Saccharomyces cerevisiae S288C: one gene and its partner. The gene in region 2 interacts genetically with the main gene of each other region. Each region holds a gene or a part of one and is shown on either strand. Other genes may lie near its edges.

The links. A genetic interaction does not mean that the proteins touch.
Region 1: mutations in CDC1 (region 2) and RPS4A impair growth when combined (synthetic growth defect), as found in Saccharomyces cerevisiae (2 studies listed by BioGRID, with this or other methods).

The regions. Positions count from the first base shown.
Region 1 is NC_001142.9:701,527-704,907, reverse strand, and holds RPS4A (40S ribosomal protein eS4 RPS4A), read left to right. Parts: upstream 1-1,839; coding exon 1,840-1,853; intron 1,854-2,109; coding exon 2,110-2,881; downstream 2,882-3,381. Other genes in the region: HMS2 (Hms2p), read right to left, coding at 1-712; YJR146W (uncharacterized protein), read right to left, coding at 670-1,023; MGM101 (Mgm101p), read right to left, coding at 3,217-3,381.
Region 2 is NC_001136.10:825,538-829,297, reverse strand, and holds CDC1 (putative lipid phosphatase CDC1), read right to left. Parts: upstream 1,717-3,760; coding exon 241-1,716; downstream 1-240. Other genes in the region: YDR182W-A (uncharacterized protein), read right to left, coding at 1-147; SAS4 (Sas4p), read left to right, coding at 1,943-3,388; cohesin-loading factor complex subunit SCC2, read right to left, coding at 3,522-3,760. UniProt on the Saccharomyces cerevisiae protein: Probable metallophosphoesterase which may participate in recombinational repair of double -strand breaks.

The sequences.
Region 1 (3,381 bases), on a different chromosome or scaffold from region 2:
ACAATTCGGATGCGTTTGGTATTAGTAACAGCAACGAGTAGCGTTTGGGGCGCTTTGGTTGGCGTTGCTGGTGTTGTAGACAAGAGTCCGGGCATACAACCTTTTTGATGGCTTCAAAATTTTCTTGAAGGAAGTTAGCGGTTTGGTAGGCGTGAAACTGGTGGTAGGAGATTGTCTGTAAGCTGGCGTTAATTTCCCTTATAATACGCAGACTATCTGCGTTTGTCGACTTAAGCTCATCAAGATTGCCCTGAAGCCTGTCAACATTTTTCACTAATTTCTCGAAGGAAGGCTTGCCGATGGCCTTGCTTAGAATGGAGTTCACTTTGAAAGGGTCCCAGTGAAAAGTACACTGCTTATTCATATTATTGACGGCGGCGACATTGGGAGTGGCGGCAGACTGATGAGCTTTAACCAGTGAGAGGCTATTAATGTTATCTTTTTGAAAATGAATGTTGGAAAACTCCACGCAGTCCGGGCGGCCCGCCTTCTGGAAGTTATATTTGCTCAATTGCTTAACGAATGCTGCAAAGGTGTGAATACCAAAAAATCGCTCTAGGATGACTTTGGTGAACTGGTCCGGATTCCAAATGACGAGCTTGCTGCCATCAGTCGACCATTGTATTATGTTCGAGTAAGCGTTCCCCTGCAGCAGGTGGTAGAGTTTGCTTACAAAGACATCAGGCTGCTCCATCCTCGATGTTGCATCCATGTCTGACGTGCGTCGCTACACGAAAGAGACACACTTGGCGACTGCCCTGACTGGCAATATATACAGTCCGCAAATGTCGCGGACTGATGCGTCCACTTACTCTTCCTATATACCACCTGGGTGAAGAGGAGAAGTGAGCCCGTTCTGGAGATATATGTCCAAATATTTGCAGATCCAGTTTTGTCATTATAATGAGATGCCTTTTGGGCGACAAAGTTCGGGTAAAAGAAGGACGGGTCCAGGAAGGCCGTGGCCACAGAACAATGCGCAGAGAAGATTTCCGGTTTCTTTTTGGCTTTTCCGACTTTCATCTTTTAGAACTAAAGATTTCCTGCATCGGTAAACCTTAGCAATGTTTCTCTAGAGGGTTTTTGCACACCAGACACGTCGCACGTGCTCTTGCAGAGACTGCTGCGCTTTCGTTTACACTCAGATAACATAGTCTAGCTAGCTTGCTGTCGTTCGGCACGAGATCTAATCCTTCTCCTGGCCTACCGTCTGTGCAACCATTAGTCATGATTACGTGTGTTGCGCCTTATCTTGTCATTATGGCAGCATACTTTTCGTAGTCCTTTCCTGCGCAGCTTGTCCATTTTCGTCATTACGTAAAAAGTCCTAATGGAGAGCTGGGTACTGCATTTTTTCGATGTTTTCAATATTCAGTTCAGCAGGAAATAAACAAATAAACAAACATTAAAATATCCTGGTTTTTTTTCCCAGAGACGCGTGGAAGCACCCATGCATCCACTATTTATTTTTAAACAGCCGTACATTCTGTAATTTTGCTTCCTTTTTCTTCCTGCGTTCTTTTTTTCTTGAACTGTCGTTTTCCGTTATTTTTTTCGGTGACATCAGTTGAAAGTAGCAGCGGCCTAGGCCGGGAGGCCGTGTAGCTCTTTGTAGTCGTGGTAAGGGGGAGTAGCAATTCACTTAGTACGTGGTCTTGGAGTTAGGCTGGCTCGGACTGGCCCTGGCAAGTCCTGTTCTGTGTGGTAGTATTGAAATTTCAGAGATTGTCGGCAATACTAGTATATTAAAAATTATACTATAATTTAATCTAGTGTTGAAATACTTTCTTATATAGCGATTTTTCTGCCCAAAACAAACCAAAGAATCAATACGCAAAGATGGCTAGAGGACCGTATGTTTGACTATAGACTTTGATTATAATTACGCAAGGATGAGAAGAATGATAGACAAGAAACAAGTGGAGTCTTAACCAAACGAATAGGAACAACAATGAACCAGTTTATGTCCATTTAATTTTAGATCATCCTGGGATTGTACAAATATTTTACGAGTAATGATTTACTAACGAGCACAATGAAAAAAATAAAATGTCTGTATCTTCATTATACATTCATTTTTGCCCTTTTTTCTCATTTTTTTCCGTACAGAAAGAAGCATCTAAAAAGATTAGCAGCTCCACACCACTGGTTATTGGACAAGTTGTCCGGTTGTTACGCCCCAAGACCATCTGCTGGTCCACACAAATTGCGTGAATCCTTGCCATTGATTGTCTTTCTAAGAAACAGATTAAAGTATGCTTTGAACGGCCGTGAAGTCAAGGCTATCTTGATGCAACGTCACGTTAAAGTGGACGGTAAGGTTAGAACCGACACTACCTACCCAGCTGGTTTCATGGATGTCATCACTCTAGATGCCACCAATGAAAACTTCAGATTGGTCTACGATGTCAAGGGTAGATTCGCTGTCCACCGTATCACCGATGAAGAAGCTTCTTACAAGTTGGGTAAGGTCAAGAAGGTTCAATTAGGTAAGAAGGGTGTTCCATACGTTGTTACCCACGATGGTAGAACTATCAGATACCCAGACCCAAACATCAAGGTCAATGACACTGTTAAGATCGACTTGGCCTCTGGTAAGATTACTGATTTCATCAAGTTCGATGCCGGTAAGTTGGTTTACGTTACTGGTGGTCGTAACTTGGGTCGTATCGGTACTATCGTTCACAAGGAAAGACACGATGGTGGTTTCGATTTAGTTCACATCAAGGACTCCTTGGACAACACTTTCGTCACTAGATTGAACAATGTCTTCGTCATCGGTGAACAAGGTAAGCCTTACATTTCTTTGCCAAAGGGTAAGGGTATCAAGTTGTCTATTGCTGAAGAACGTGACAGAAGAAGAGCTCAACAAGGTTTATAAATTTCATAACAACTTAATTATTTTCTTCTTTTGTATATCTCCATTAATGTTTATTAGAAATTGAATTTTAAAATAATACATCGTATCTTCCTTTTTCGACTGGCAGTAATATAACGTATAATATATATATTAGGTGTGTGTATATATATCCGTATTGTAATATTGATAGTAAAAATACGCTAACCCTGAAATAGAAGGCGTATGATAAGACGTACTGACACTACGCACTACCACAATATATGCGTATGTGTGTGTGTGTGTGTGTGTGTGTGTGTGTGTGATTGTATTGGAATATATATACTTACTAAAATTAGCTTATATGGTTCGCATATTGACTATTTATAAGGATATTCAACTTGTCTGTCCTTTCTTAACCAAATTTTCTTCTTTCTCTTGGTGGTAACATGTTCCACAAACTTCTCAGTACAATGATCCACTTTGAATTTCTTTATGAAAACAGGGTCCCATAATTCAGAACCGACGCCGAGATCTTTGCAACA
Region 2 (3,760 bases):
CCCGTATAGTGAAGTAATTGGTGTTACGCCCAGTCCTGCAGTTTTAGCTTGGACCACAAAACATAATGCAAATCCAGTAGAGGTTATGCAAACTGTTTGGTGAGCATAGTAATACCACACCCGGTATAATTTATATCTCTTGTTCATTGTCTGTATATAAGGTGTATTCGCATATATTAAATAGCCAGACGTTTCCCTTCAAAGCATTTTGATCCTGGAAGAGAATAGCAGTAATTCTGTCTAGACTACAGTATAAAAATAAATAAAAATGGGCATCACAGAAACAAAAAGGACAATTGCATTAACTAGAAATTGTTTGATCGAACGCGTATCATTCACAGCGTATTTACTATGTGTCAATGATTTTTTGGATTTCGATTTGGAAATACTTGTAGGTAATGGCAAATCTGAGGTGTTACCATCAGGTCGTGTAAATACTCTGTTCATTATGGTTGCTACGCGATTATTAAAAGATTTTGGGAAAAAATGCATGTATGCGATAAAGGCAGCAGAGAATAATAATCCCCATAGGTACATTCTGATTGCCTTATAGGGATCTGGCATATAGCATAGCTCTGTTTGGTAAGTTTTTGATGCATACTCTCCGCCGGCATTTACCATTGTCAAATCTGAAGGATTATATAAGGAGAGCAATTGAATAGCAGGCCTACTGATCCCCATGTTCATTGCACATGACTTTACTGTAATTTCTTGAGCATTTTTAGTTTTCCCCTGAAACGGATATGAGTGTGATATCTGACAATGGTCATGATCATCCCCGGAAAATAATATTTCTGGTTGAATTTTCGTTAAAATTTCTTGTGATATATCGTTTTCTATAACTGTCTGGTACTGGTGCCCTTTCTGAATAGGAAAAGGTTCTTTGGATTCACGTAGCTGACCGCACGTTTGCTGTTCTGGATCCCTCCATAATGGAACGTGAGTTAAAAGAATTCTAGGAAGCGGATGTGAACCCATTGCAAAATTATCCAAAAACTGTCTAGGAACCCTCGAGACATTCGGATTTGTTTTATCAGAAAGCGAAATTGTATCTAAAAGTACAAAGGTATGATTTCCAGCGTCTAATGAGGAGGAAGTTTCTCCAAAGTAACTAGAAAATCTCTGTAAACTCGATTCAACAACTGTGTCTCCAAAACCAATATCGTGATTACCTGGTAAAGACATGACCGTTCTTCTCAGTGGCTTCTTGGGGAATATTTGGTTGAATCGTGTGTACTCTTTAATCCATTGCTTATCATCCCAGTTTCTCCCTCCATCAAATAGATCACCTAGGAAAAAATTGCTATCAGGATCCAAGTAATACTGGACATATTTCCAATTTCTCCTGTGATAATGGTCAACAATCACTCTTGTAAAATAATTAACTATTTGAGGCCTCCCAGGATATGAATATTCGTCCATTATTTGTGGGTCTGCAAATAAACCCACCCTATGACTTTCAGCGCCTTCAGGCCAATCCTCCCAAGTCGACCATTGGCACTTCTTCATTGCTCTCTTCACAACCACTGATTCATAATAAGATATTAATCCTAACCATAAGATCCATACAATAGATATGTATCTCCAGTAGATTCTTAACCTCTTCTTGCTCCTGCTTTTTGATTTCTTTTTCGAACGTGATTTATAGTGGGCCTTATCGTCGCTCTTCTTGCTGTGTGTAGATAAAACGCTCTTTGACCTGTTACGATATACCATACTTCCTAGAGCTTATTGTCTAATGTATCCAACAGATTAGTAGAAGCGGTACTGTTTTCCCTTTCTTTTTGGTTATTGTTGTTTCCATAATCGTTCGTTCTACATTTTTAAAAATAAGAAAATCTAACCCGCGAGTTGATTTCAGCGATCTCAAAACAAAAAGTAGCAAGATTAAAAAGGAAAACCGAAAATTTCTACAGCATTAAAAGCATATGAGAGTTCATCAATGGGTATTTTTCAATCAATAGAAGAAGCAAATAATACTTCTGAGAGATTGCTGAGGTCTGAGATTAAAAATAGTCATGGAGAATTTGAAAAATTCGATTTTGATACAGAAGAATACGAAATTAACCCTAAAAGGAAGTTAAGATTAGTCAGCAGGATAAACCCAAATGCTGGACATCTAAGGAAATCTAAGTCCTGCTTTACTGTAGATGAGCATGTTGACGAAACGCGTTGTCAGAAACCTGTGATGAAGTCGCCGTTCATGAGTAATGTCGATGATGAGATCAAGAAAAAGAGAGAGACAATTACAAAGATGACACTAGAAATTGAACATCATGAATTGAGCCAGAATATTAGAAAACCAACTGATGATTTGCTTCCTGATAGCACGTATCAGCCTTACCACAAGAAAATGTTGAAGCAAGAAAATAGAATGATTCAATCGGACATCGTAAATGGTGAAAATGAAGCAGACAGGCTTTCATTAATTTCAGACAGACTGGGTATGTTGAATTGGGAAGTAACATTACAGAAGGTTACTAAAATAAATGACCCCACTGACGAGAATGAAATGGAGACTAAACGTTACCAAACTAAAGAGCTGATTGATTCAATGTTACATAAATTTGAATCTATGAAAAAAAAAAGCCGCAATTTAGCTAGAAGGCCAGCCTCAAGTGATTCATTGTTGAAATTGGTTAGTGGCAAAGATTGGCCCAAGATATATACTCGAATCGATCGAACTTTTATTCCAGATTACGCAAGCTCCTCTGACGAAGAAGAAGAAAAAATAACCGTTGAGGAAATAAGGGAGAGACGCCTAAAGAAGAGAGAGCAGCAATGCGGTGGTTCCATTATAGTACTGCTGAGCGATCATCAATCACAAAAGGGAATGACACGGTTTGCTATCGTAGCTGAGCCGCTCCGAAAACCGTATTTGATTAAAACCTCCACTAAAGAGAGAAATTCATGGAAAAACAAAGTTCCCACAAATCCAAAAAAATTCAAGAAAGCTCCTCGAATATCAACGCAAATTGCTGTGAAAAGAAGAAGGGAAGTCATCCCGTTAACGATGGAGGTGGAACCAGAAGTCATTCGGGATATAAGGCAAGATACACAAAAGTCTATGAAACTGAATGTTAAAGCGGAGGAAATATCTGTGACAGAGACTGTCAAATCAAAAGAAATGAATGCCTTAAGGAACAATGCTGCATCTATAAGTCCAACTCTTTCAGAGAAGGCACCTTTAGGTTCAATTTCATCTTGCACTGCATCTCAGATTTCACAAAGGTCTTCTGAGAATGTGGGTGCTATTATTAACAATATCAACCCAAACTTAGCAATAGTGCCCTCTTGTAACGAAAAGACCTTTGTAAAAACACACAATGGAATGAAAACTAACTCAGGTATTAATATTTTGCCTGTCCGCAAGAAAAAAAAGGTTTAGTTTGAACTAATATAATGCGATGGTGTAAATGAAATTCAATATTTCATAGTTGCTTCTCAAAACCTGCGTGAAAAATCAGCATGGAAAATGCAAAATGATTATTAATACTATGTATATTTTAAGTGCAATATATTTACGTATCCTTCACGTGTTTTCTAAAATATGTAAGAAGCTTGCCATTTGATGAATACTGTTCAATATTCTCCAACTGTGCGGAAAACTTACTGATATCCGGCTTCTTTGCAGGGAGTTGTTTGTTCTTCAATTCTGATTCTTCTACAATATCTAATAAAAGCACATCATCCCTTAACCCGTATAAGTGCAGTAGATAAGTACCCAAATCCTGTAAGCTTAACTGTATTAAAATTATTC